Ovis aries: one gene and its partners. The protein of the gene in region 1 purifies or fractionates together with the protein of each later gene. This does not show direct contact. Links are inferred from orthologs where the notes say so. Each region holds a gene or a part of one and is shown on either strand. Other genes may lie near its edges. The genes, in order: RPS6KA3, CSNK2B, FGFR1 and FGFR2.

What was found.
Region 2: the proteins of RPS6KA3 (region 1) and CSNK2B purify together in Homo sapiens (affinity purification with mass spectrometry; 5 studies listed by BioGRID and IntAct, with this or other methods). This does not show direct contact. The link is inferred for Ovis aries from reciprocal best matches to the Homo sapiens genes RPS6KA3 and CSNK2B.
Region 3: the proteins of RPS6KA3 (region 1) and FGFR1 purify together in Homo sapiens (affinity purification with mass spectrometry; 4 studies listed by BioGRID and IntAct, with this or other methods). This does not show direct contact. The link is inferred for Ovis aries from reciprocal best matches to the Homo sapiens genes RPS6KA3 and FGFR1.
Region 4: the proteins of RPS6KA3 (region 1) and FGFR2 purify together in Homo sapiens (affinity purification with mass spectrometry; 3 studies listed by BioGRID and IntAct, counting the BioPlex papers as one, with this or other methods). This does not show direct contact. The link is inferred for Ovis aries from reciprocal best matches to the Homo sapiens genes RPS6KA3 and FGFR2.

What each region holds. Positions count from the first base shown.
Region 1 is NC_056080.1:18,622,639-18,629,688, reverse strand, and holds part of RPS6KA3 (ribosomal protein S6 kinase alpha-3), read left to right. Parts: intron 1-263; coding exon 264-425; intron 426-2,999; coding exon 3,000-3,076; intron 3,077-3,596; coding exon 3,597-3,714; intron 3,715-6,141; coding exon 6,142-6,282; intron 6,283-6,919; coding exon 6,920-7,042; 3' UTR 7,043-7,050. UniProt on the Homo sapiens protein: Serine/threonine-protein kinase that acts downstream of ERK (MAPK1/ERK2 and MAPK3/ERK1) signaling and mediates mitogenic and stress-induced activation of the transcription factors CREB1, ETV1/ER81 and NR4A1/NUR77, regulates translation through RPS6 and EIF4B phosphorylation, and mediates cellular proliferation, survival, and differentiation by modulating mTOR signaling and repressing pro-apoptotic function of BAD and DAPK1.
Region 2 is NC_056073.1:26,711,042-26,718,633, reverse strand, and holds CSNK2B (casein kinase II subunit beta), read left to right. Parts: upstream 1-2,592; 5' UTR 2,593-2,717; intron 2,718-3,317; 5' UTR 3,318-3,328; coding exon 3,329-3,400; exon of another isoform or gene 3,401-4,117; coding exon 4,118-4,220; exon of another isoform or gene 4,221-4,728; coding exon 4,729-4,844; exon of another isoform or gene 4,845-5,291; coding exon 5,292-5,367; exon of another isoform or gene 5,368-5,503; coding exon 5,504-5,693; exon of another isoform or gene 5,694-6,148; coding exon 6,149-6,239; 3' UTR 6,240-6,379; downstream 6,380-7,592. Other genes in the region: GPANK1 (G patch domain and ankyrin repeat-containing protein 1), read right to left, coding at 389-993; LY6G5B (lymphocyte antigen 6 complex locus protein G5b), read left to right, coding at 7,202-7,262, 7,395-7,523. UniProt on the Homo sapiens protein: Regulatory subunit of casein kinase II/CK2.
Region 3 is NC_056079.1:32,686,311-32,693,818, reverse strand, and holds the start of FGFR1 (fibroblast growth factor receptor 1), read left to right. Parts: upstream 1-2,813; 5' UTR 2,814-3,010; intron 3,011-3,272; exon of another isoform or gene 3,273-3,313; intron 3,314-7,508. UniProt on the Homo sapiens protein: Tyrosine-protein kinase that acts as a cell-surface receptor for fibroblast growth factors and plays an essential role in the regulation of embryonic development, cell proliferation, differentiation and migration.
Region 4 is NC_056075.1:41,082,784-41,089,833, forward strand, and holds part of FGFR2 (fibroblast growth factor receptor 2), read right to left. Parts: intron 6,580-7,050; exon of another isoform or gene 6,242-6,579; intron 4,697-6,241; 5' UTR 4,582-4,696; intron 3,994-4,581; 5' UTR 3,870-3,993; coding exon 3,704-3,869; intron 1-3,703. UniProt on the Homo sapiens protein: Tyrosine-protein kinase that acts as a cell-surface receptor for fibroblast growth factors and plays an essential role in the regulation of cell proliferation, differentiation, migration and apoptosis, and in the regulation of embryonic development.

The DNA of each region.
Region 1 (7,050 bases):
CTTGGAGACAGATATTACTGCTATTTGCATTTTTCATTAATCCACTCAATTGGACAAAGTGAGGGGGGAGATAAATACTGTTCTTTCTTCCTCCTTTCCTTGCCACAGTTCTGTGTGAGAGAGTTATACTTACACTATTAGTATTTTATACTGTTGGAATAATGTGAAGGTCACTACCAATCATCTTGTTAAGTTTGTGATAAATAATTTTCCATAATGGAGACGTATTGTTAATGCAGCTCTTTAATTTGTATTTCAATTAGGTGGTTCACAGAGACTTGAAACCTAGCAACATTCTTTATGTGGATGAATCTGGCAATCCAGAATCTATTCGCATTTGTGATTTTGGCTTTGCTAAACAGCTAAGAGCAGAAAATGGTCTTCTCATGACTCCTTGTTATACGGCAAATTTTGTTGCACCAGAGGTAATTGTGAAAGAGTTTGCTTGCAATATTTCAGTATATTTAAAGACTCATTTGCTTTGTTTTGCCCATCTTCCCTGGTAGCTCAGATGATAAAGAGTCTGCCTGCAATGCAGGAGACCTGAGTTTGATCCCTGAGTCGGGAAGATCCCTTGGAGAAGGAGACAGCATCCCACTCCAGTATCCTTGCCTGGAAAATTCTTTCCTGATACTCTTCGAATTTCCTGATTTTTGTCACCATCTTCCTGTATTTCTAAAGCTAAAACATCATGGTCTTTTCTTGTCTTTAGCTTTGTAACCAGTTAGCATCTCTGTTATCCCCTACAACCAGTTTGGGCTTCTTCTGTTCACAGACCTGCCTTCCTAGCCCCTGCTTCCTTCACCACAGCCCCAGGTGACTGCCACAGCCTAGGTGCATGGCGTTCCCTTTTGTCATTGTCTGATCAGTCCACAAAGATGTTGCAAAGTTGCTGAAGTCTTCCTCAAGCACTGCTTTGATCAGGTTGCTGCTTTTCCTAAGAAATTGCAGTTCCCCATTATAGCATCTCTAAAATCCAATGTTTTGCCCTCAAAATTTCTTGGCTTTGGATTATCACTATGTAAAAAATTAAAACTAGAAGCAAGATAATAAAAAATAATAGTTAATCCTAATATAAGGCTTGCATGTCAGGCACATATGTTAACAGATTTCATCCTCTCAGCTTTAATTTGGGTATAATAATTTGTTCTCATTATAACTATGTGAGCTGAGTAATTTTATTTGCATTTTACAGGAAACAGGGTGCACAGTGAGGGGTGATGCCATTTGCCTGAGATCAGATCTAGATTTGAGCCCAAGAAACCCAGCTACAAAGTTTGTGCTTTACCATGTGCTAGATATTTCACAAAAATGATAATAGTTGATAACGTTAGACTAGTTGGATTATAGATTCAGATTCCCTTGTCCGTTCTCCAAACTTTACTTTTTAGATAGAAAAAAAATTTTTTTAAGTTTATTTGATTCAGTTCTCCCAGTGATACTAGAACTGATGAGGGACAGGTTTTTTCCTTTATTTGTTGACATATCCACAGCCTCTGACACAAACTGGTGTCCAAGCATGACCCCCTAATCCAGCCATCTCATTTTTCCTCAGGATTGTTTCCTACTTCATATAAGCAGTCTGCTTCTTGGAATCACCATGTAGCTTTTATGTCTTGGCACATTGGAATGTTTTTTTTTTTTGCTTCAGATCCTGCCTCTAAATTCACCTTCAGGAAATCTTCTATGATCAAACTGTCCTTAGACTGACCTCTTAACTCTTCCCAAAATCCTCCTCCTGTATTATTTCTCCACATTCAGTGGATCACCAGATCCTTTCCTTTCTGATTCCTAAATATTTTAGACCTTTTTTCCCTTACGCTGTATATCCAGTCTTTACTGAGTCCTTCCCATTTTATCTTTATGTCTTTTCCTCTTCATGTCCTGTTTTAGTACAGATCCTCACAGCCTTTCACTTAGTTTGCTACAAATTGCCTCCAATGAGGTGGCCTTGTGTCCATTCTCTCTTCTTGCCAGCATTTTCTCTATACCTTGAGTTATCTTTCTGGTATACACATCCACTTATTTTATTTTCCTCTTTAATGCTTCAATGACATCTGATTGCCTGCAGGGGGAAAAAAAACACCTAGATTCCTTAACAAGATGTTTATAAAAAGCTTTCCAAGGTATTTCCTGGTGGGCCAGTAGTTAGGACTTGGTGTTTTCACTGTTGGGGCCCAGGTTCGATCTCTGGTTGGGGAACTAAGATCCCAGAAGCCACGTGGTGTGGCCAAACAAATAATTTAAAAAACCTTTAAAAACCGCTTCAGTCTCTCTATAGAATCCCCTGTGTGGAAATCTGGCCACACTGAACTTACATGTCGCTAAGCAGGCTCTGCTCTCTTGCCCCTGCTCTCTCCCACGTCTTGATTTCGCCTCCTGAATTCTTCCTTATCGGCCCAATACAAGCAGGTTGCCTCCGAGCCTTCTTCCCTCTCTCCCCTATCAAGAGTGAATTGCTTCTTCATCTTTATACCCATATCCTTAAAACATATTTTTGTTAGAAAACTTATCATGTTGAATTAACTACATATATGTTTATTTCCTTTGCAAGATTCTGATTTTCTTAGAGAAAACAGTTGTTTTGTATTTGTCACAGTTTATGCCTGATAATAGTGATGATTAAATCTTGAGTATATATATAAAAGTACAATTTTGCCCTATACCATTTATACTGTTATATTTTCTTTGTTTTGTTAATTATTTCTGCAGCCCCTTACAAAATATAAATACATTTAAATGAGAAATTTACCTTCAGTTTATTTTTATAGTCCTCTGTGTGCCACAGCAGCGTTTGATAAATTAAGATGAATATCAGAATTTAAATTTATATAAAGTATTAGTAGAAGTTTCTAGAAGTAGTATTACTATATTGCCTTGTTTGTTAATCATGCTATTTTTCTTGTATGCATTGATTTAGGAGACATAATTTAGTTCACGCCTATCCAAATCTGTATAATAAAAAACAGTGTGTTGATACTAATTTTTACTTTTTCTAGGTTTTAAAACGACAAGGCTATGATGCTGCTTGTGACATATGGAGTCTTGGTGTCCTCCTCTACACAATGCTTACTGGGTGAGTGTGTACCGTATGTTGTAAGCATTTATTCATCGATAATTTTGGTTACATTATCTAGATTTATTTTTTAATCTCTTATAATACTTTCTTCCCATAGTTTCTCTTGTTGTTTAATAATACAATTCTGTGTGTATATGTGTGTATCACTGTTATACCTGTATTATTATTTTCTGTAATGTACTATTATTAAGTTCTTCAGGTTATGAGTTGATTTTTTTATATCATTTTTGTACTCTGTGTCATAAACATATACTATTTTAAATTTATTATTCTATAGTATGTCATGTCTTAATTATATTATTGTATATTAAATTTAAATTAATATTTCATAACCTATACCTTGACCTGGTACTTTATGAAGCTTCATATTGTTGTTAATTTTTACTTAAGTAGATTTTGATGAGGTGTAACATTAAATGAACTACTTAGAGTACTTTTGGATATTGCAAATAAATATGAAAATTACCAACCAAAAAAGAAACTTTATTCATTAGCATGTTATTCTGTTATAAATTAGTTACACTCCATTTGCAAATGGTCCTGATGATACACCAGAGGAAATACTGGCTCGAATAGGCAGTGGAAAATTCTCACTCAGTGGTGGCTACTGGAATTCTGTTTCAGACACAGCAAAGGTAAGTATGGCTTCCTATTAAAGCTTTTGAGAAAATAATTTTTCATAATCCCTAGTGAGAAAAAATATCAGTTAGAAACTTGTTGATAGAGCAGTATTGAAATGATGTTGCCAAATACCTCAGACTCAAAAATTGACCACTTATGTTGTTTCTTTTCCAGAATAGATTGGTTTGGCCTATCTATCTATCTGTCTATCTATCTATCTATCTATTTCATGGTACTTCTTACTAATGAACATGATGAATAATGCTTACGGTGGAATTGGCCGGGCAGCTTTGGGAAGCAGAAGGATGTAGTCCATCCCAGGCTCTCATGATGATCTGTGTGTTTCCTCTGTGCCTCACACTGCACTTCACCTAGATTATCCCCTTTAATCCTCCTAACAACACTGTAGAATAGCTAGTAGTGTCACCATTTCCCAGTAGGAAACCAAAGCCCAGAATTTTAGTGTGAACTTCTCCACAGCAGGCATGAGTAGGTGCTTCAAAAGAAACAGCCAATTCCAAAGTCCTTGTTCCCTAGAATAACTGTACTGTGTTCTGTTTTTGGTCCATATTATGAAGAAAGGGGTCTATCTTTTTCTCAATAAATAGTAGTTTAGCTTTATAGTGTCTACTTGAAATCCATTTGAAATGCCTTTCTTGCTAGCAGACTCGCCATCCCCTGAATAGCATTGATCTGCCTTCTAACTCTCCTCTAGTTTCACTTTCAGTTCATTTGAAGAAAATTCTGTTTGAAAAGAAGAGCAAAGTTTTCCATTTCAAAATAAGAAAAACATAGAGGAGATGAGGGAGATACTATTGGTAAAAAGTGCTCACTCCTTTTTCTTAGAGGTGGATGCTTGACTTGAAATGATTGCATTAGTAAATAGGATATGTCAGAAATTTCTGTAGATAATTTTGGCATCGATATGAAGCCTCAGTTGACTAGTTTAATATCTGTGTGGATAATATTTAGTATTATAACTGTATTTAAAATGATATGTTAGCTTTTCCCTTTGTTTAACAATAAAATTTCTTAAACCAGGTAATTCATTTTTCTTGGTACTTTTTGCTTTTTTAAAATTCATGTATTGAGCACCTGCATTGTGCTTAATAAGTGAAAGTGCCAGGGATAAAAGATGGGACTCAGATGGAATTCCTGATCTCAGAGAGCTCTCAGGCTAGTTGTGAGATGGCCAGAAATATACAGTTCAGTGTCACATGTGCTTTTACAGTGCTCTGCTTACTGTGCTAAAGAAGTTCACAGATGATGTTTGATCAGAAAGGTTTCATGGAAGGCTTTCCAGAAGCATTGAAGGGATTGGCCAGACAGCTTTGGGAAGCAGAAGGATGTAGTCCATCCCAGGCTGAGGGAGCAGCCCATGCGTGGTCATGATGGCATGGGAATGGCACAGTACCTCCAGGGTGGTGCACAGAGTTTGATGTGACCACTACAAGGTACATGTAACAGGGTCACTGATGAACCACAGTTATGAAAGGTTTTGTCAGTCATGCTCAGGATTTGGGATTTTCTCTAATTACTGGGGAGCTGCTGAAAAATACTAAGCATTGTAGTGGTCAGATTTTCCTTTTTCAAGGTCACTGTGGAGTAGTAATTTTTAACCATTGGGATCGACTGCAAACTTGGTCACAATTGGTTGTCAGGCGTATCAAGTAATGTTACCACAGAAAGTACCATAGTTTATACATTGCCTGGTTTTTTAATAAGTTAAAGCAAGTCTAGCTTATCTCTATGATTTTTATAATTTGGTTCTCATTCACTTGCATTTTATGATTTTTTTTGAGTGAAAGGCAGGTGAGGATGAGATACAAATAATGCAAAAAAAATTACATCTAGTGCACAGCCTATTTTATGAATGCCACATGATTACTAATAAGTTTTGCTAATTTTTCCAGTTAATACTTGTGATTATAAGTATAATGTAATATGCTGAATACCCACAAAATTGAGAAGTAGAAAAAAGTAAAAATAACTCTGTAATCTTTGGAGGGAGCATTTAGAACACTCCAATTAATTCCTGTTATTAGACAGTTGTATCCTGCTTTTCAGTTTTACCAGTAGTACAAAAAAAATCTTAAGTAGCTGAAAGTTACTTAGAAATAAACCAATGAAAATGTAGAGAAAATCAGAATATATGAGAGAAAAAAGAGCCAAAGTCCTTAAATATACATAAAATGTGGTAAATTTACCCTTTGCAATGCACCAGAATTATTGTTAACTCAGGGAGGAGAAAACAAAGACTTAAGTTTTTACTTTTTTTTTTTTTAAACATTGTCATATTGACCAAATTGCTTTGTACCCAAAGGTCTGCTACTCAGAAAGAATAGTGTCATGGAAACCAAGGAAGAATACTACACAGTATCAGGTGCTATAGGAAAACAAATAACAGGTTTAAGCTTGTTTTATTCTTTTTCCCACTACAGGACCTGGTGTCAAAGATGCTTCATGTGGACCCTCACCAGAGACTGACCGCTGCCCTTGTGCTCAGACATCCTTGGATTGTCCACTGGGACCAACTGCCGCAATACCAACTCAACAGACAGGATGCACCACATCTGGTCAAGGTGAGCAGCCCACTGGGGCATGCATGCCACATGCCCTCCAGGGGAGACTGAGATGCCGTCTCTGTACCACAGCACCTTGCCCTTTCACTGCCTCTCAACACGCATCCACTTCTCAGGTGAGATTCTCATACAGTGGGTGATTTAAAAAAGAAAAAGCCAAGGCGTGCCAAAATACCATCCTAAAGCTAGTTCAGGAATGATTTCTGAGTTTATTAATCAGATAAGCTTTGTGGACTTCCTGACTTTTCTTTGTTCTTTCTTACACACAACCCAAAGCAGACTCTTTGAGGTTGTCAGCAGTGGTAAAACACAAGTTCCAAAACAGCATTCCTTGCTGACTCTCATGGTAAAAGATTGCAGAGGTAAAAAACAATTGAATAGTCCAGAGAAAAGTAAGGACTGGTTGTTATGAGCCCACCCCTGTCTTCTCTCATCCATAATTTCAACCTCCCTCATTGGCCTCTTCAATTTTAGTTAGATCAGAGGATTTGACTAGTGTGATTATTTTAATTATGAGCCTAATAAAATCTATATAAATTTGCATGTGAAGAAATTATCTGGGGAAAGTTCATTTCCTATTCTGTGTATAAGTGACTACCCTCTGTCATTATTTGTGACCTTTCTTTCCTGTTTTCAGGGTGCCATGGCAGCTACATACTCTGCTTTAAACCGTAATCAGTCACCAGTTTTGGAACCAGTAGGCCGCTCTACTCTTGCTCAGCGGAGAGGTATTAAAAAAATCACCTCTACAGCCCTGTGAAGTGACCT
Region 2 (7,592 bases), on another chromosome or scaffold:
GAAATAATAATTACTATAGTTAACATTTGTACAGTGCTTACTATGCTATTAAATACAAGCACTGTTCTAGTATTTTATGTATATTAACCCATTTAATTAACCCTAACAACCCTATAAGAAGTATAGTCTAATTTCTTAGATAGGAAAACTGAGCCACATGGACGCTAGGTTGCTTGCCCAAGAAGTACAATCAGGATTTAAACCCAGAGAGTGTGTACAACACAGAAATTTAGCAGATATTTTACAATGACTATAAACAGAATATCACTTTAAAAAATCCTGAATTGCTATATTGTACATATGTAATTTATATACTTGAATTATGCTTCAATAAAACAAAAATAGATTTAAAAGTTTAAACAATATTAAAAGATAAGGCTTCCCTCACCGGTTCTCTGGACTCCTTGTCTCTCCAGGGCTCTCTCTGACCATGCGGGCCACCTCAGGGAAACCTGCTTCTTCAGCCAACTGAGCAGCATCTCTGCCCCCCAGCTCACAGACCCCTACCCAGGCAGCCCCACGGCCCAGGAGATAGCGCACAGCTGCCCCCTGGCCTGCTCGGGCGGCACACATCAGAGGGGTCCACCAGAAAGCATCCCGAGCATTGATATTCCCTCCAGCTCCCCCTGCCTCACGGGGATCCAACAGCCTTTTTAGTTTTGCCAGGTCCCCCTCCTGGGCTGCCCTCAGTATCTGCTGGGTCGTCTTGTCCTTTGTGTCAAGGGATCTCCTTTGTCCATGTCCTCCTGCTGCTCCTGCTGCAGTCTCCCTCGTCATTCTTCTTTTCTTCCTCTTCCTGGCAGGCCCAGGCTGAGCTCTCTGGGTTTCAGGGGTGCTGCTCTCATCTTCAATTAAGGCTTCGTAAAAAGCCCGGGCTGCAGCCCCCTCCAGGATGGGCTCCAGCTCTTCAGGCTGTGATTGCAGCTGCCCATCTTTCCACAGATCACTGGAATCAGTGGCTGGGGTAAAGTTAATGAGGGAAGACCCAGACATGGCTTTTGGGAAATCTAGGAAAATGAGACTAGGAAGCCAAGCCCCTGGTGGTCCTGCAGCGACCAGAGCCAGTTCCAGACACCTAATGAGATAAACAAAAAGTATCCTTAGCGTCAAAAATCCCCTCCCAACCCAAAAGTGACCCCACAACCTGGGACCCTGTAGGGTCAGTAACAGACAATGCCCCTCAATAAAGGTAAGAAAGAAGTCTCCGTAAGACAGTTGCCCAGACCGTGCGCTCCGCCCCTACCTCCATCCGCACCAACAATACCAGCCTCTCTGAGACAACTTTATCACAGCGTAAAACATACCATTAAGAAAAACAATCAAATTGGCTCTTTAAATCTTCCTATTTCAGGGTAAGTTCTTCCCAAACAAAAACAAACGCGACACGTCTCCGGAAGCAGGAAGCAGCTTTCAGGAAGAGGTTCCAGTCTGTGTCGCTTTATAGCTTCCGTACTGCAAAATGGCGCTACTCTAAGCAAAGGAGTCGACAAATAATCACAGGGCACAAAGACGCATGCGTGGCCGGGGAAACAAAACAAAACAAAACAAAACACCTGAGGGTGCAGGCGCGCGCTAGCGCCGGGTTTTTCCCGCCCTGGAATGTTTCCATAGCAGAAGCACAACGCACCACGTGCCGGGGCAGCGCGAGGACTGAGAAAGATCCGTCGGTTGGGGTTCTGTTTTTACATAACGCCCCCACAATGCCCTTCGCCTCCTCCCTCAACGTGGCCCCCGCTCCGAGCTCATTTTCTGGACCTGGGAAATCACTCTCAGGGTTAAAAAAGGCTCTGAGGCGGAGAATGCCCAGAAACCCTGAAATGAAATAACGTCACGCAGCCCCTCACCATTACTCTGACCAGGGTTCGAAGGTCGCATTTAGCGCCCACAGCAGCCCCGTTCAAGCCCTAAGAGGAAATGGAGAAGTGCAAGGGGACAAGCAGCAGAATGGCTGGCACCACCTCAGGTTAGCCCACGGGGCCGTCCTGGTTCTCACACCGCTCAGCTCATCCCAGTACACCCTACCCAGGACCCTCAGCATGGAACCCGGCCTCACCTCCCGCCTCCGCTGCGCGAACCCCGGATGAAACAAGGGCCCCGTCGCGGGTCTCCTTGGCGGGCTGACTCCAAGGAGCAAGGCAATAAGGGCCAGGAGGGCTGGCTGGCTGGGGATGAGGTCAATGCCCCGGGCAGCAAAGTCTCGCCGAGGCCTGAGGCTCGCTGTTTGATGGGAGAAGCAAGAAGCAACCAGCCAGCCTAGTTCCTCTCCCGGCCCACCCCCTCCCCTCCATGGCCCTGCAGTCCCCGGAATCACACGACTATATTTCCCAGGCTACCTGGCCCAGAACGCGGTACTGAGTTTCCGCTTCCGGTGGCGGCTCGCAGTGCCCTGCTGCGCCCCGCCCCCAGCGTACCCCTCCCCCGGGGCCTCGTGACACCAGGGTCGTGCGCGGGTCATCCTGGGATTTGTAGTTCGCTTTTCCCTAGTTTCGTCAGTTTCTTCTTCCCAAGGACTCCATTTCCCGGCATGCACCGCGGCTCCTAACTCTAAGCACTTGCGCGTTGCCCTCTTCCCCACCCTCCCCAGTTTCCACTCCCCCCACCCCACTTCGCCTGCCGCGGTCGGGTCCGCGGCCTGCGTTGTAGCCGTCGTCGCGGTCTTTGGAAGCAGAAACTCCCCTTCCCCTCCCCGTCCCCCGGTCCCAGTCCCCGTCCAGTCGGTGAGTGTGGTGGTCGTCGCCGCGCCATGTCCCCTGTCCCTGGGCGCGGCACATGGGGTCTCCGCGTCTTGATGTGGGGGTGGGAAAGGAAATGACCCGGTCCGGCACCGAGGGTAGGAGAGGTGGCCCGAAGGGTGGAGGCGGGATGTCGGGACTTCTATGAAACGGACCTGACCACCACCTATAGGCCATGAGAAAAGGAGGGCCCAGCTCTTGCTTGGAAAGGATAAACTTCGGAACCCTTGAGAATGGGGCCAGAGACTTGCGGGGGTAGGGAGCTTGAGCCACGGCCCTACCGGAGTTGACACGGAGGAGAGAGGGGCCTGGCTTTCAGGAGCGTCAGGGATGGAGGTAGGACTAGTGGGGTCAAGACCTGTCGGTTTCTCACAGCTGGTGGACCCCGAAGAATTTCTCTATGTAATCTCAGTGAAAAGGGGCTGGAATGTAAATAAGAGGAGCTAGAGAGACGTGCTCCAGTCTCGGGTTCTTTAAGAAAAGGGTAGCCCCAAATTCTTCCATGGTTTGAGGGCAAAGTGTGGGAGGAGTGAGGATACCAGAGGTTGGGAGGGAGAGCTTAGGCTTATACTCTTCTGTCTCTAGCCGACGTGAAGATGAGCAGCTCAGAGGAGGTGTCCTGGATTTCTTGGTTCTGTGGGCTCCGTGGCAATGAATTCTTCTGTGAGGTGAGTTCTCCTCAACCCTACCATCCACCTCCACATGTAATCTGGCCACATAATCTCCTGCACATAAAGCTTCCACACACTTCTCTTACATACTTTAGTAAAAACTCTTGTCAAGGAGGAGTCTCCTTAGTAGCGCTCTCTAACTTGTGGTGAAGGGTCAAGACTGAGACCCCAAGTCAACCCTGCCACCCTCCAACAGCCTAATGTTGGACTTGTCAACCTGTGTTGTTTTTTTTTTTTTTTTTTTTTTTTACCAGGGAAGTACTGATAGTATGTATTTCTGGTAGCTATTAGGAGAATTAAAACACTTCACGTTAAAATGTTTTATAGCATGGCTGTGTGTTAACATAAGGGAGTGTAACTGACTTCAGAATCCAAGCTGTTCAGCCCCCACCTTCCTCAGAGAGCCAGCTGCCCCTCAGGAGAGGCCAAAACTGATTCCTAGAGCTAGGAACAGGAATCAGGACAGGGATCTTGAAAGGACTGCCTCTGTAAGGAGGGGATTGCTTATGTTTAGGAGAAAAAAGCCAGACCTCTTCTGGGTGGGCAGTATACACGAACTAGGGAGAGAGGTTCAAGTACTTCTGCTGAGTTGGGAGTGTGGAACAAAGGGAATGAAGCAGTTGTGTTGAAGATAAGGCACGAGTTAGAGCACCCTGCCCAGGTCAAAGCTGAGGATTCTGCTTTGGGTTTCCTTTTGACTTCACGTCCTGACAGGTGGATGAAGACTATATCCAGGACAAATTCAATCTCACTGGACTCAATGAACAGGTGCCTCACTATCGACAAGCTTTAGACATGATCTTGGACCTGGAGCCTGGTGAGACACCCTCAGGGTTGTTTTGTGTGTGTGCTGTTTTTTTCCTATTCACACCTTGTTTATCTGCTTCATGAATTTCTAAATTTCCTTTTGGTTCTCTAACCCTTTTAACCCCAAATCCTTTACTTCATTTTGATTCCATACCTCACTCTTGCCTAATTTTGTGACTTCTACACTTGTTCTCATACTCTGATCCTATAACTTAGCACTTATCGAAAATGCTAGTTTCTCCATGGGTGTTATCTTCTTCCTTGCCCCTTCCAGGTTAGAGTTCTATCTTCTGTGTTGACATCTTTGCATTTATTTATTAAAAAAGAGAAGGAAGCAGAGGCTGAGAGGGATGGAAAGAAACCCTTGGGTTGGTGGAAGGGGCAGAGGCCCAGGCTGTGGGTGGGGTGAGGCTCCAAGTTGGGTGCTGGGCTGAAGAGCCAGCAGCCCCTGGGAGTAGGCAGGGCACCTTAAAAAGTTGTAAGACAAGTGGTTGCATTTGGCTGGTGCCATGTTTCAGATGAGGAGCTGGAAGACAACCCCAACCAGAGTGACCTGATTGAGCAAGCAGCCGAAATGCTCTATGGATTGATCCACGCCCGCTATATCCTCACCAACCGTGGCATCGCCCAGATGGTGAGGCCTCTCTACTCCTACTCGGTTCCTTCAGAGGCAACAGGGAAGCAGAGTTTCCATCAGCAAGAAGTCACTCGTTTCAGCCTTGTCACGGAATCTAGCTGAGAAGAGGGGAAAGAACCCCAGAATCTGGGCCTAGGGGTTAAGACCTGATTGAGGGTTGAGGTGAAGGGAGTGTTTTGGGGGAGGGAGATGTGACCTAGAGCAGAAAGTTGTAGACTGCCTCTTCCTCAGGGAATAAGCAGTGAATGTCTGATGATCTTCAGACTGCCTGACTGGATGAAAGGAAGCAGGGGAGTCTGAAGGCCCATCTGAGCCAGAGAAGGGGCCTCTGGACATTAAGAGGCAGAAGGAGTTGGGGACACAGTGATGTGGATTGGGCTGAGGAGGGGGTTGCCTCTTTTCTTCATACCTACCCACCAACTCCTTCAATTTCATTCACATCAGTTGGAAAAGTACCAGCAGGGAGACTTTGGATACTGTCCCCGTGTGTACTGTGAGAACCAGCCAATGCTTCCCATCGGTGAGTGTTGGGAAAGGGAAAGGAGGGCCATGGCAGGCTGGGATGGAGTTGGGGCTCAGCAGGTTGGGGCCTGAGTCCAGGAGGGAGGTTGGGCAGGCTTGGGTAACCTGGCCTGCTGAGTCTGGCTGTCTCCCAGGCCTTTCAGACATCCCAGGTGAGGCCATGGTGAAGCTCTACTGCCCCAAGTGCATGGACGTGTACACACCCAAGTCATCGAGGCACCACCACACGGATGGCGCCTACTTCGGCACCGGTTTCCCTCACATGCTCTTCATGGTGCACCCCGAGTACCGGCCCAAGAGGCCCGCCAACCAGTTTGTGCCCAGGTGGGGAGCAGGGACAGAGTCACCAAGGGTCGAAAGAAGTGCCTTGGATCCCCCAGAAAGAAGGGAGGATGAGGCAGTAGCTAGCCTTGCTGCCATTTTGTGTGCTCAACTTTCGCTAGGAAATTCTCAGAGCCACGGTTGAAGTGTATGATCTTCCTGCAGTATCATTTTTGCTCTGGTGTAGAAAAAGAAAGTTCAGCTTTTATATTAAAACAAGTACTGCCATGTATATACTCATGTATATATGTACAGACACATATTTGTAGCTTTGAATTTGAGTTTTAATAGATATTTAAAATACATTTCCAAATATTCTTAAAGGGAGAAGTTGGGGAACCGCTGCCTTGAAGTACTGAGCAGGCCCATGAAGAAACTGGGGTAGGGGGGAATGCAGGCCACTGGCAGGCCAGGATGGGGCTCACTGTGCTTCCTCTCTCACCTCTGCCCCAACCCAGGCTTTACGGTTTCAAGATCCATCCAATGGCTTACCAGCTGCAGCTCCAAGCCGCCAGCAACTTCAAGAGCCCAGTGAAGACGATTCGCTGATTCCCCACCCCACCTGTCCCTCGGTCTTTGACACTTTCATTCCTTTGCTGCCACAATTTCAGGAACCCTCTATGGTTTTTAGTTTAAATTAAAGGAGTCATTATTGTGGTGGGAATATGAAATAAAGTGGAAGAAAAGGCCATGGGCTGATTGGCTGGTGTTTGGGGTTGGGGAAGCACGGGTAATGGTATGCTGGGCCCCAGGAGCCCTCCTGGCTCAGCCCACTCTCTTCAAGTGGAAAACCAGCACAGATTTGTACCCAGTAGATTTGGGTGATGTTTTTAGGACTGGGTGTAGGGATGTACGGAGATCACGAGGCAAAGACAGAAATCGGATTTCAAAGACTGGAGAAATATTTGCTCTTTTTGTGTTGCCTGCAGTTGGCTGTTTAGGGGATGTAATCAACATCACTTTGAGTTTTATAAAGAAAGTGGTCCCAAAATAAACTGAACTGTAAGGGGTGGGGAGAAGAGGTTCAAGGTCCAGAATTTGCTGTTTTGTGTCTATGTGCCCCCTCCTGGGGAAGCTGAGACATGCTCATCTCAGAAGGATGAAGGTCACTGGGTTCCTGGTTAAAGTTTCTCCCAGAACAATAGGGACTGGCCCTGTTGTGTAGGGAGGATGGCAGATGGTACCAGAGAATGAAACTAATCCATGGACCCTGGAGGGGCAGGAACAGATCTTTGAGGGACACTCAGGACAAAAGTAGACTGCTGGATTGGGGCCCAGATATTGCACCTGTCTGGGCTGCCGCTCCCACATTCAGGAACCAGACCAGGTGGGTGAGGACATGTTCTCCTGCCAAGCTAATTGCTTCCTGCCCCAGGGAGGAGTATAGCTTTGTACCTACAGCAGCTCCTGCCCAGACTACCTGTCAAAACCACCTTGCAGTTCAGGCTCGAGGAGTGTGGTCACGGGGTTTCTAGGCACCCCTCGGGGAATGCCCCTCTCCCCAGAAGTCCATGATGAAGGCCCACATGCTTATAGGTGCACTGGTCATGGTGGGCTTCACGGTGGGAAAGGGTAAGTGGAGCAGGGGCAGGGCAGGAGGGGTGGCTGAGTACAGGGAGAGGGTGGCGGTGGATGAGCGGGATGTTGCAAGGCAGGGAACTTGGAGTGGGCCAACACCACCATCCGTGTCTTCCGCTTCCCCAGCTCCTGTTTCTGAAGTCCGGACCTGCCACCTCTGCCTCTTAGAAAATCCTGCTGTAGGATGCATTTCAGGCTCAGAGAAGTGCACTATCAGCAGCTCATCCCCGTGCATGGTGATCAGCATCAACCATGGTGAGTTGAGTCAGGCAGGGAAGGGGCCACTGGCAGGACAGCCTATGGCATTGTCTCCTCTTGTAAATG
Region 3 (7,508 bases), on another chromosome or scaffold:
GATTCTGGTGACAACCTTGTGAGGGGGCTCTAGCCAACTGAGGGAAAACACGTAAACAGATCTTCAGTTCAGTTCAGCTCAGTTCAGTCGCTCAGTCATGTCCGACTCTTTGCCACCCCATGAATCGCAGCACGCCAGGCCTCCTCGTCCATCACCAAGTCACGAGTCAGTGATGCCATTCAGCCATCTCATCCTCTGTCATCCCCTTCTCTTCCTGCCCCCAATCCCTCCCAGCATCAGAGTCTTTTCCAATGAGTCAACTCTTCGCATGAGGTGGCCAAAGTATTGGAGTTTCAGCTTTAGCATCATTCCTTCCAATTTCTTTCAAATGCATGACTTGTCCAAAATCAAATAGTTCTTAAGTAGCAGGCCGGAAAGAAGGTATCTATCATATCTAGGGTGGCATACTTCTCACCTGCCAGTGGTCCCCTACCTGATACCATGGGAGCGGCAGAAAAACATAAGCTCTTTGCTCCTTCCTGGGACAGCCTGATCTCTCAAGTCTGAGCAGGTCCATGAATTTATATTTTTCAGAAGTTTTGGGAAGGATTTGAGTGAACTCCAGGAGTTGGTGATGGACAGGAAGGCCTGGCGTGTTGCGATTCATGGGGTCGCAAAGAGTCAGACACGACTGAGAGACTGAACTGAACTGATCTGATGTCCATTTGGATCAGGGAACCACTAGATTATACCAGCCTGCAGAAAGACCCAGGGAAAAGGGCATTTTAGCTACTTTCCCTCGAGTTCCTTCGAGTACTGGAGTGTGTGCTGGGTAGGCTTTGATCAATTTCCAAATCAACACTTCTCAGCTCCTCTCACTGTTTGCTTCTGAAACATTCACTGCAGACAGAAGACTTCCGGAGGCGGAGAATGGTGCTGCAGAACTGACAAGACTCAGCACCCCTGGACCACAAAACCTAGGCCATATGTTTGGGAAAGTGAGATGGAACCAAAGCTTCTGAGGAGCCATCAAACTTCTCATGAATAAAAGCAGTTTGACTTTGCTCAGTAACTCTGCGGCAGGCCCTTATTTAATCCTCAACTGTATATGGAAAGTGCTATTGTTCCCCTTTTTGTTGTTCAGTGGCTAAGTCATCTCTGACTCCTTGCAACCCCAAGCACGAGGGGCTTCCCACTCCTTCACTATCTTCCAAAGTTTGCTCAAACTCATGTCCACTGAATCAGTGATGCCATCCAACCATCTCATCCTCTGTCACCACTTTCTCCTCCCGTCTTCAATCTTTCCCAGCATCAGGGTCTTTTCCAAAGAGTCAGCTCTTTGCATCAGGTGGCCAAAGTATTAGAGCTTCAGCATCAGTCCTTCCAATGAATGTTTACGGTTGGTCTCTTGGGCTCCAAAATTACTGCAGATGGTGACTGCAGCCATGAAATCAAAAGATGCTTGCTCCTTGGAAGAAAAGTTATAACCAACCTAGACAGCAAATAAAAGAGCAGAGACATTACTTTGCCAACAAAGATCCATCTAGTCAAAGCTATGGTTTTTCCAGTAGTCATGTATGGATGTGAGAGTTGGACCATGAAGAAAGCTGAGCACCGAAGAGTTGATGCTTTTGAACTGCGGTGTTGGAGAAGACTCTTGAGAGTCCCTTGGACTGCAAGGAGATCCAACCAGTCTATCCTAAAGGAAATCAGTCCTGAATACTCACTGGAAGGACTGATCCTGAAAATGAAGCTCCCATACTTTGGGCATCTGATGCGAAGAACTGAGTCATTGGAAAAGACTTTGATGCTGGCAAAGATTGAAGGCAGAAGAAGGGGACGACAGAGGATGAGATGGTTGGATGGCATCACCAACTCGATGGACATGAGTTTGAGCAAGCTCGGGGAGTTGATGATGGACAGGGAAGCCTGGCGTGCTACAGTCCATGCGGTGGCAAAAAGTCGGACACGGCTGAGCGACTGAACTGAACTGACCTTTAGGATTGACTGGTTTGATCTCTTCGCTATCCTCTTTTACAGATGTGAAAACTGAGATACAGAGCGAGAACATCGTTTCCCCAGGGCACTCGGTCAGAGTCCAAAGTGCTACCGTGTGCAACCTGAGGGCTTCAGGGTCTCATCTCCATCCCTCCAACTGCTCATCCGTCCACAGCCCGAAATTCGTGCGCCCTCCGGGAGGGGCTCAGTTGGAGGGGCGGGCGCGCGTCAAAGGAGGCCAGACAGACTGAGGCAAAGGAGCAGCAGAGCGCAGGGCGACTCAACCCGCTCCCCCCTTCTCGGGGGCCCTCGGCTCAGAACTACAAGGCCCAGCAGGCAGCGGCAGGGGGAGGAGGAGGAGGTGGGACCAGCGTGGGGTGGGAGTGAGAGAAGGAGCCCTCGCGCCTTGCCGGCGCATAGCGCTCGGAGCGCTCCTGCGGGCACTGGCGCGGCGGCCTCGGCTGTGGCTGCGGCGCGACGCGGGAGCCCGAAGTCTGGTCCAGCCGCAGCGCGCGGAGGAGCCCGGGCTGTGCCCAGAGCTGGGCGGCGACGTCCGGACAGCCCCGAGACTCCGCTTAGCGCATTGCGGCGACCTCGCCTTCCCCGGCCGAGAGCGCGCGCCGCAGCTGGAAGAGCGGCGGAGCCCGAGGACTTTTCTCCGGTCCGAGGGGCGCCCCGCCGGGCGCAGGGGACCAGGGCGGCAGTCGGGCACGCCGCGGCGCCGGGGCCCCCGCCAGGCGATGGAGCTCGGGCTGCCAGAAGCTTGAGGGCCGCCGCCCGGTGCTGGAGAGGGGGGGCCCACAGGGTCTGGAGACCCCGGGCGGCGGACAGGAGCCCTCCCCCCGCCCCGCCTCCGGGGCACCAGCTTCGGCTCCATTGTTCCCGCCCGGGCTGGAGGCGCCGAGCCCCGAGCGCCACCGGCAGTCGAGCGCCGGCCGCGGGGGCTCCTGCGGCCCCGCCAGGACCCGAGCGGAGCCCGGGGGCGGCGGGCCGGAGCCAGGGACGCGGACGCCCGCCCGCCCGCACGAGCCACGGCGGACTCTCCAGAGGCGGAACCGCAGCGCCGAGTGAGGTAAGAGCCGCGGCGCCCCCGGATCCGGGGCGGGCTCCGCGTCCCGGGCGGGCCCCCGGCGCCGGAGCCTCCCGGCCGCGCGCTCTCCCCGCCGCAGCGCAGTCGGGTCCGGCGCCTCCCTCCGCTCGTTACCCGCCCCTCTCCACCCCCGGCTCCCTGCCCAGCTCCCGGCGCCCCCCTTTTGTCTCCCCTCCCTTCCCTCCGCTCGCGTCGCCTTCTGCGCCCCCTCCCCGCGCCCGTCCCGCCGCCCAACTTTTCCGCCAACTCGCGCTGGGGAGCTGGCGAGGCGGCGGCGGCTCCGCGGTGAGTCCGGGGAGGGACAGGGCCCGGGGCCGAGGCGGCGGCGGTCCTGGGTTTCCTGGGCCTGGGGAGGCAGGCGGGGGCGGGCAGCGCGGTGGGGTGTGTGTGTGTGTGTGTGTTGCGTTCCACACCATCTCCTTTTAGTCCACCCATGGGGAGTCTCCGCGATCCAGCAGGTAGCTTTGGGTGGAACGCTAAAAAAAAGAAAAAAGAAAAAACCCGGGGTCCTCCTAAGTCCTTTTCCATCTCCGGGAAAGTCTGGGGTCACTGCCGCAGGCGGGTGGGCGGTTGGGGGCCTGAAAGGGGAAGGAAGTGGAGGGGTCGGTTCGCTTCTCTTCCAGTCGGTTTTAAAGGGGGGTGTCGTCACCAAATGGCTGAAGCTGCTTCAGCGAAGAGCGAGAAAGGAATTCCCTTTTTCGAGAGGCGCTGATCTCCGACTTAGTCCGTCTCTGAAAGGGTCGGAAGTTTGGGGAAGGGGAGGGCGCCCAGCGGGTGAGGTTAAGCCCCATTACGGGGTCTGGGGGAAGGGATTGGTCAGTTCCTATCTGGTTCGAGGAGGTGGGGGAAGGGATGAGGGTTTTGTCCGGTGCGGTTCGCTCGGCACCGGCGCTTGTTGCTTCGCGGGCCCAGAACCCTCTGCCCCCTTCCCGCTCCCCTTTCCCGCTATGTTTGGGGTGAGGAGAAGAGGGGGGCTGGAACCTTCGTTTGCAGAGGAATTTATTGACGTTGTAGATGCGATCATTTAACCCAGATCCTATGGAAGCAGTCAGATGCCTCTGGTTGGGGAGTGGAGGGCTTGGGGAGCGGTGAAACCTGCATCTCTTGTCTGGACCCAGAGGCTTTGGCCCTGTTCAAAGTTTCCGCCGTGTCTCCCCACCACCTCCCCATCACCACTCCCCCCACCCCCGCCCCATTTTCCAGATGTAGCCGCCGCATCTGGTTCCGTTTCACCCCACCCGGGTACACCGCAGCCGCTTGAACGTCCCTGTTCCTCCCTGCCCCCTCCCCCGGATCGAAACAGGGATCCTATAACTTGTCCTCACCACCTCGCTCTTTACGATTTTTTCTTAAGACTTGGGTACGAGGCGCTGGGACTGGGGGAGAGAAGTTACCCTGGATGCCAGGGTACTTAGGCTGTGCTGGCGCTTTCTGGCTCGTGCGGGAAAGGGGCATTGCCGGCGAGAGGAGGTTTAGGGGATGACAATATCTCCTCTGATAAGTGGTGGCCTCTTTGGCCACCGGTCTGACCCAGAGCTGGCCCTGACAGAAGTTTCTGGAACCGGAGCATTGCAGCCTCCTCCCTTTTCAGTTAGAGCCGGAGCGGCGGGAGTGTCTGACCCTGTCCGGAGCCCGCCGCCGGGTCTCGGGCCGCCCGGCGGTGGCGTCACGCGTCCCCTTTTCCACCCTCCCTGGAGCAAGCCCGGGGCGCAGCGGCTTGGGCGTGGGAGGGGGGCCCGGGCTGTGGCTCCCTTGGTGTTTTGAAGGAGTTCTTTCTTTGGGCGGCCGCTCCCGGAGGCTAACGTGGGGCGTTTTACCAAGTCCGCGCCGGCCGCAGGTTTGAAAGGGGTTGGCCTGTTGAGGGTTTTTGGTTCTGCCCTTTGAGGCAGGAAAGGGCTTTCTGGTTCCAAAGTTGCGAGAGGGTGGGGAGAGTTGGTCTCTCACCCTCTCCTCTCCAGCCTCTTTCAAATTGAAAACACTTCTCTGGTTTCCTCCTTTGGGCGGTCGTTCGGAGGCTGTAATGAAATCGCACTTTCTCTAGACATGGTAATTAAGGTGACTGTTTCCTCCGCAGATGGCGCTCTATCCTCTGCACCTCCGGCCCTGCGCTTTTTTTGGAAAACAGTCTAAATTATACAACCTTAGCCTTGAGACTGTGGGGCAGAAAGTGGCCATTCCCCATCCTCCCCCACCCCCCACCCCCGAACTATTGGCCCGGGCTCCCCGTTTCCTCCCTGAGGCTTGTTTAAAGGCTAAGTAGCAGGGCCCCTTGGGACGTGCCTCCGTCTGGTTAATTACACCCCCCCCGCCCCCCCCCGCCCCAAGCCTGGGTCATCAGCCTTCCTTCCAGTGACCCAGGGGAAGCCCTTGGTGGTGTTGGTGGGGAAGACCCAGAGACCTTAGGGAGGATGGCCTGCCTCCCTAATGACTTGTTTACGTATTCTACCCCCTCCCCGCCCCCGCCCCCAAATGGCTGGGAAGACCTCCAGGGCTGCTGCCGTGGACCGCCCCCCCCCCCCCCCCCCCCCCCCCCCCCCCCACCCCGAGGAATGCCAGGTGTTTGGGGACTGGGAAGCTGCCGGGGTCTCGGCTCCAGCCTGCGATGGTTGCATACTGAATCGGGTGAGGAGCTCGTTGAAATATCTGTTGCATTTATTCTTAGTCATAGCGGAGCGTCAGCTTTTTAATCAGGGTCATCCGGGTGAAGAGCCGCTTGGACAGTGTGCACGCCGCGCGCTGTCTGCTCTGACGGTGCCCGTAGAAATGCGCGTTGGGGAGGCATTTTCACGAATGGGATTTGGGCCAGAGTGGGCACTGTTTTCTTTGGCTCCCAAGTAGAGAGCCTTGGGTACTTACTTCTTTTCCTTGGCTCCTGGCCATGGAGGATGTGAGAAAGTTCCGTTAGGCACCCTTAGAATAGCAAGTGAAGCCAAAAGCAGAAGACACAGAGAAGGAGCCTGGAAGGTGCTATGGCCCCACCCCTCCTGGGGGAGAGGATCAGAACATCTCCAGATTTAGGTCTGGTCCAGCTTTGTTCCTGTGGACTCCAGTGGCCAGGAGGATGGAGTTGAGAATGGAGGAGGACGCCTCCAGCCACGGAGACCAGGCTGGACTGCTCTGGCTTTTAGTTGTCTGCTCTTTGTTTGTTTGGGGGTGTTTGGGGAGTGCTTTTTGTTTGTTTGGGCCTGGAAAAAAAAAAAAACGAGTCCTAAAAGAAGAGATTTGCTCCTGTGAGCTTGGGCCTTTAGTGGCCTCTGAACACTTTCTTCAGGCCTCCATTTTTTAATCTCTCTCATCAAAATGGCCGTGGTTAAGAGCTTCCTAGGAAGGTTTCAGCCTGTTGCTGCAGGAGGAGAAGGACAGAGTAAGTGACTCAAACATCTTACTCTGAAAAGGCCTCACCTCACTGGAGAGGAGTTTTAATTTCCTCTTGGGAAACAGGTCTCGCATTTGGCTTCCCAGGAGCTTTGTAAAAGGTCTGAGTCAACCCCAGGACTTGTTGGGAGTCCAGATGCAGAGCTTCAGAAAAGATTCTGGGGTTTCCAGAGAGGATTAAAAAGTGGACCTGGACTAAGACTTGCTTTTCTCCCTAAGGCTGCATCTTCCTGAGAGAAATTCCCTGCTCATCACCATTCCACTTGCAGTTACAAGGAGCCACGTTCAGGCTCCAAGAAAACAGCCCCCACCTGGGTGAACACCTCCAAGCGTATGGTGGTCCACAAGCCATCCTGTCTTCAGTGGCAAGGCTTCCTAGATTATAGTGGGACAGTTAGAGTTTCTCTTCTTATTACTCATTTCTTACATACCTCACTCCCAGGGACATCTGGGTACTTTTTTTTTTTTTTTTTTACAAGGACTCAAAGCTTTTAAATGAGCATTTCTGTTGGACCCAGTCACATTTTGCAAGCCGAGCTGCGGATGTGTTGTCGGATGTTTGTGGAGTATTTGCCCTGCCACTCTCTGCCCGGAGTAGGGAATGCTCACTTTGGGGAAAAGCAACCATTTCTGTTAAAAAGTCTTATTCCCAACTAAAGGGATTAAAGTTTTGGCATTACTTCCTCAAGTCTGAGGAATCAAGATGTTTAGAAAATGTCCGGGTTGGTATGCTTTGAAATTGAGTTTGGCTGGCTAACAGGGAGTGCCTGACGATTTTCTCTGGCGTTGTCAACCTCTTCTCTGCAAGCGCAGCTCTGTCAGTTTCTTTCCAGTTGGCCCTTCTTTGTTTCATTCATTTATTCATCCAGTTACCAAATGCAGCAGCATCCGCTGTGTAGATGTCAGGTGCTAAGGGTATTAGCAAGGAGTAAACCAATGCAGACCCTCCTCTATAGGAGCTTGCCATCCTATGGTGGACGTTTTTGGAAATTCAGAGGATCCTCAAAAGGCCCAAAAAGACTTGTGGAAGACGTGGCAGTTTGAGGCGGGGCTCCGAGAATCAGAGAGGAATGAGAGACCGTGGCCTGCCAAGGATAGAGGAAGG
Region 4 (7,050 bases), on another chromosome or scaffold:
TTTAAATCATTCATTCTTGGTATGCGGATATATTCTTTTTTTTCTTTTCCTTTTAACTTGCAATTAAATGCGTATGGCTGATATTATGGCCTTTACAATACTTCTAACGAAAGATCTAACCCACACTGGAAAATTCTGACAGTGGGGAAGTCTCCATGTAGACCCCCTGCTCCATCTCTCTGCTATTGAACTTTGGACCAATTCACATCAGCTCAGGACAGCATGACCTCAGAAGGTTGCCCCAAAACTGACTGCAAAAAAAAAAAAAAAAAAAGCAAACTACTTTCTTCCCAGGTTGTTACTTCTCAGCGTCAAACTTTCTGGAGGGTGGGAAAGTAATTAAAGGTTTTGGGTTGGAAAAGGCCTTTTATTTTAACTCCTACTGGGCTGGTGTAAACAAAGATGTCGTTAAAGTCAACAACGACTTAATTAACCAGAGTAGGTGACAATGTCAGGAAGAACTTGAAAGCAAGAGTCCTCTCTGCTACAGGGTAATCAAGCTTGACTATAAATAATTAGAACTTTAATCAACAGAACAGTACTTGGCATTGAGGACTGGCCGCCTAGAGTCAGTAACTGAGTTTAAACCCTGCACAGCTGGTCCCCGACAAGAATGACTGACCAACCAAAAATACTCATTTTTTTAGTCTGGAATATTAACAAGTAAAGTCTTCTAGAGATTATTTTCTGAAGTCAGTTGAGTAGACCCAAACCTACAGCTACCACTTCAGAACGTGTCCAGAAGACAAATGATACATGACAGGTGACGGGATATATGATCATGATACATGGTAGATGAGATGATGTTGATACATGACAGGATGATAGATGATGGATGGGATGGGATGATGATCAATGAGATGATACTGTACAAAGCTGAGACAATTGGAAAAGGATTCTCTAGAGGGAGGGCTCAGGCCCCTTCCTGGAACTTAGTCACATTTTTCTCTGGCCACATTTATCTAAACTGAGCTTTCGCATTAGCAAGCCAAAAAGTCTTCCAAGATAAGGCCCTGTAGGATAGAAAGTCAAGGCTGAACTTACTTTATCCAAAGCTATAGTTAAAACATGCCATGGAGGACAGATAGCGACTGATGGACACACATGGATGGGGGACTCTGTCGGTCTCTCTCCAATTCGCCAGGACCACAGCCTAAACTGGAGCTGCCCGACTTAGTCTGCTTCCAGTTGCTAAAAATTTTTCTTTCTCATCTATAATTAGATTACCTTCCTAATAGCCTCTGACACCAAAGCTAAACTCCTGCGCTGGAAGAATTCATCTTAGGGCTCAAATCAGTCGACAGGGGAAGTGCAGACCCTACAGAAAGCCAACACAGCTGCTCCTCCATCAGCGAACAACTTTCTTCAAAAGCCTAGATGTCTCCTGATGTTGTGGCAACTGACACAGCCAGCCCATGGGACTGGGAAGATGGGCGTGCCCAACTCACCAGGAACAAGGACAACAACTTGTCCCAGGTACTCATTAGACAGCAGGACCTGTGCTAACTGCGTTTTACGTCCAGACCCACTTAAATCTCCTAGCAACCTTTTTGAGGCGGGTCATCAGAAGGCTTCTGAAGATATCAATATTCATTTAACATTAATAAAGAGACCCTGAAGATTATCTAATCCAGCCCTCAGATGACAGAAAAGGAAACTGAGATCCAGGGGGTTGTGTGCTTTTTCCAAAGCCACCTCTTTCCAGGGTTTTGCACAGCTTCCACTAAACCTTTGAAAAAAACCTCTCACAACTCTGGACGCAAACCTCATAGGAGCTGTGAACCCCAAAATATGACCTCCCGTTTCAGAGAATTCAGGCACCTCCCCTCAACCCCCAAGTGCATTCACAGATGCCAGGCTGGGAAGACCAGCCTCCAACAACACTCACATTGTTGAATGCACATTTCTACACAAAGAACTGCCGGGGGGTACTGCGTCCTCGTCCGTCTCCACCCCCTCCCCATCCCTGCCTCACCTCTTCCTACCAGTATGTGCACATATATTTTTAAATTCCCTTCAATAATTAAAGACGATAAAAAGAAGTCCTCCAGGACCATTTTACACTTTATGTTGAAATAAACTCCCAATCACGCTGCCCTGAAAGTCGAAATGAGAAATGACATTTTCTTCCTAACCTAGGCCATTCCTGGGCTCACACTGCAGGAAACCCTCCTGTTCAGCAGCCTCAGTGTGTGTACTGAGCCATGCACCCCAGGGAAAACCGGCAATTAGAGAAACATCCATTTTAATTATTAGCAAAATTAAAGACGTACAGGCATGACTTTCAGAAACTGGGAACCTTTTCCCTCAAGTTAAGCCCTTTAAACATGCATCCCCATTGCAAGTGACATTGGAGCTCATGTCACCAGGAGGCAGTTCCATAATCCCTGGAGCCAGAGCCTGTGAACACTTCAGACGCAAACTCCTACCAGGTTCCCTACCGGAGACTTGGAAGCCACTGCAGCGTCACTACACCTGTTTACTACAAACCTCCATACCTCTAGGTAAGAAAAAGGGCACAAGCTTCCACTCGCAACTGCTGAGCTGCTTCTAGTAAGAAGCGCCTCCATTTTAGAAAAAAAAAGATATGCCTTTATCCTTGCATGACTCAGGGTCTCAGTGGGAGCCCCCCTCGGATGAGGACACAGCCCTCCCCTCCCGGTCTGGTCCTGGACAGGCTTGCGGTCTTCTTCCGAGCAGGGTCTTTTCCAGAACAGCTGACCGACCCCAGCCCACGCAGGCCCCCAGAGCTCAGCAGGCACCAGGTGGGCTCTCAGCAAACAGGTTCATTAAGTGGCGATGAGTGCTAGGATCTGCCGTTTTATTCTCGGATTACCACTCGAAAAATAACTCAGCTACCAATATTCCCTACTGATGACAGATCTCGTGCGGCACCAAGTTGAGGCTGGGCTACCGACGTCGCGGAAGGACCCAGGAGAAGAGGTTCCAAGTCTGCCTGGCGGGAAAATTCAGCCCTTGTGAGTTTTGTGCTCACAACTGGCCTCATGCCTTTCTGCATGTTCCAAAATGCATAATGTGTTGCCTGCGTGCAATTTCCACAGCTGAAACACCAACGCACACCCTGTTAGATCTGGAAGTTCTCAGAGATTCGGGAAAGGCCCAGGTACATTTCAAATTGACCTAAAATAGAATCTGCTGCTCTGTGACGTGTGGCTTAAGTATTATGAATTACAAGGGCTAAAAAGAATGTAATGTCTCAACCCTCTCCACGCTGAAGTTCAGAAGCTTTCTCTCCTTAGACAATGAAAATAAAATGTCAGCATTTCAGAGGTTGGCAATTTCCCTGCATGACTCCTTTTGCCGGCAAACTGCAATCCTTTACATTGTGAGCAAGACTCTCTCGGGTAAGCAGGGAGTGGTAGATGGCATTCAACTCTGAGCTGCCTGCCACGGCTCTCCTGGCACTGGATGAACTGCCAGCCGCCTCCCTTACCCAGCACAGAGAAAAACGCACACGCCAAGAAACCACCGAACTACACCACCCTGCCCTCAGCGTGACAGCTGAGAACCTTCTCTTGTAATCCCTGGCTTGCAGGGGGCAGAGAGCCACAAGCTCCGCTCTTAGAGGTCTCCTTTACAACGCAAGGGGCAGCTGATTCTCAAACAGGCCTTGACCTCACTGCCACTTCCCCCAGACAAATCCCCAAACTTGGTACCCTGAGAGCGAAATGAGATAACTTACCTTCCGGCTCAACCGTGGTATCGTCAACTAAATTGAAGGAGGGCCGGGCCAGGGACAAGGTTGCCATGGTGACCACAACCAGGCAGAGGAAGCGACCCCAGCTGACCATGGTTACAGTGCCGATCCCCTGTCCTCTTCCATATCTCCATGTGGACGTTAATCCCATCTGCACCCTTCCTCTACGAGCATGGACTGCCTGCAGCAATGCCTTCAGCCGGCGGTGGGCTCAGGAATCAAGGTGCTGCGGCAGCCGCTCGCTGGCCTTGCCGCTGCTGCTGCTGCTGCAACCTCTAGAGGAGAGAGACACTGCAAGTCAGTGAAATCTTCCCCAATACCAATTTAGTTCAACCCAGTTCTCTTTCATCATCTGCAAATACCTTCCATCCGCACCTGAGTCCCAGGGGTTTCCACCAGACCGGTCCACAAAAACGTGTTAGGCTGACGGTTGAGAAAGCCTACTCTTAGGAAACAGAGATAAAAAGAGTAGCTACAGGACCCAGATACGTGCAGCCACTTCAGCTGGGCAAGCGGACTCTCTCCTCCTACCCACTGTCACCTCTCCCGCCCTCCAAAAGCCAAAGCTACGTGACCTTAGTTTCAAGGGCAACTACAAAAGCCAAGTTAACGATGCTCCGGCTGGCATAGCCAGCCTCTTGTTAACTTCTTTCACACCAACTGGGCTTCAGAGGTGTCTGCTTCTGGGGGTTGGAGCTAAGTGGCTTGCTCCACCCTCCCTGGAGCCCTCGGGAGGAAGGGAGACCAGCAAAATAAAAAGAACCCCAGGAAGGCGACCAAAAATTCCCACCAGTTTACACTTGTCAAGATTCATTTTCAAATGCAGAAATGTATTTCAATCTTTTCGCCAAGCAGACACTTACAAAGAATGAACGAGACTGCAATACATTCAAAGCAGCTGATCCAAAAAGAGGTTCAAAGCTTGAATCCCATTCCACTGTGACGAATGGCAGCCCAGGCCTAGTGCGTGTCTTCAAACTAGACAGAGTGCATTAAGAAACAGAGCAGATGCAAACTCCTTTGAATAACACGGGTGTTCATTAATGATGATGATGGTGATGATGATATGTAAATTACTCTCAGGGTAGGTGATTGGGCCAATAACTTTCAATATGCTAACTTACTGACTAAAATTTCAGAACAGAAGTTACCAGGGGGTGTTCAATGTACTAGTCTGCTCACCCATTTAATTCAAAAGCAAAGAGAAATTTCCAAGCTTAAGATAATCCAAGACTTTACATTTGTTCAGTATCAATTACTAAGAATAAGAACCAAAATGCACAAGCTTCAGAGAATTTGATCCAATCACAGATTCTGTGAATTACATATGAAAGAACCACATTTTATAGGATTGAGGGTGGAGGTGAGACCTTTAATATACAAATCTCGAAACCCCACGCTTTCTGCTTGCGGACTTCATGTTTCAGATTATGACTTGGGATTTCAATACTGCTTGAGCGTCCCCAAAGCTACATCAGAATAAACTTTCAGCCTTGACTAAGGATTAGAGTGAGCAAGGGGAAAAGAGGACGCTGCTCCACTTTCAGAGGAGGAAAAAAGAAAGCCTCTTCTTCAAAAGAAAGCACACGTGAAATGGTGTGATTCACAGCAAAAGAAGAGCGCGTGCGTCCACCCCGTGCTTTCAGATTGCTTGAAGGATTTCTTTGGCCAGTTTTTCTTTCCTCTTTGAGGTAAGAGCCTCAAAAGATAAGTCCATATCTATTTCTACATACACGTGGGAGGAGAATACACAAACATTCTCACTGATTTACGAAGCATTTCCAGAATGCATGGGAATTTTTTTGCCTCTAACACAACTCCAGGAAAATCCCAGCAAGAGAGTGGGCCCCAGACTGCTTCCCCAGCCCCCTCACCTACCTGTCCTAGCCTGAAGGAGCTTCCTTTGCAGGGAGAGGCGGACAGTGAGTGACCTCAGCGAGATCTCAAGCCATCCCTTCACCCCATCAGCTTGCACCAGCAACTGACTTATGTAGCCATTTCCAGATCCAGGCTCCGCGGCCACCCCCTTCCTTCCCAAATCTCTGGAAAGTGGAGATGGAGGGTGGCAGGTCCGCACAAATCCTCACCCGAGTGGACAAAGGTATGGAGGGACCTCCTGGGCAGGATAATGAGGTCCCCAGGCTCAGTGTTGGGAACACAGGCCCAGCGTGCCGCTGCCGGCCACAATCCCAGCTTCCTGCCTTCAATACCATAATCCTTCCTGGAGTCTGAGCCTCAGTGAAAGCCCCAGCGTGTTTATTTTTCCCCTTGAAAGGGAACTCTCTTCTCCGCTTGGGAGCGGGAGGAGTTGTCACCCTCCCAGTGATGGATGGCTCTTCCTGGCCACCCGTTCCCCAACCCCCCTGTCCATTTTCACCTCGGCACAAGCCTGCCCCCAAAGACAGGCAAAGTGACAAGCGAGAGGGCTTGGCTGGGGAGCGGTCCCTATACCAGATCCATGCAATTTACAGAACATTCCCAAACCCTCCACCCTTCAAGAAGCCAAGCCAATATAGCACCCACCTTAACTGAGTCTCTACCCGAGCACTTGGGAGCTTCTTTCCCGGCAGATTTCCCATCAGTCAAAAGTGCCAGGCAAGGTGGGGGGTGCCCAGGCCCCCAGGAGGCAGACCCACCTTCTAGGCTCCAAGCCTCCCTAGGACCCCCATGCCTGAACAGAGCAGGGGGCTCTCAAGGGGTCAGATGTGGTGGGGGTGGAAATTCCTCAACACAGTGAAATTTCAAGACAAAATACAGGCTGACCCAGGACCACCTTCTCTTCCCCGTTAACCCCCGGCAAGCCAAGAACTTGCAGCAGCTCCGGGAGAACTCAACATCACCAATCCGGTTTCAATTGTAGCAGTTGTTTCATTTGTGTGCTAGGAATATAGTGAATTTCTCCCCCTTCTCGGGGCGCTAAAGAGCTCAGAGAAATCTGCATTTTAATTGACATTCCAGGGCGAGAGAGAGGGGCGCCCGATTGCTTTTCTATTCAAACTAAACAGGCTTTTCAGATGAAAATGAGTCGAGGCCGGTGGAAGATTTACAGGGATTTGGGACCCAGGGGACAATGGGGTTTTAAATGTTGATAGCGCTTCACGCCAAACACATAATGGGTGAAAGAAGGTTTGCCTTTAAGGGTGGTTTTATTGAATTGGGCGAGAGGAAGGAAGGTCCGGAGAAGAGTTTGCAAAGGAGCGGGAGGCGAGGGGAGCGGCTGAGGCTCCACGGCCCCGAGCCGGACCCCTTCGCCTGGCCCGGTGGCCGCGAGGGTCGGAGCCAGCGCCGGGCCCAGCCCTCGGCTGACTCCCCGGCGCGGCCCTGGAGCTGAA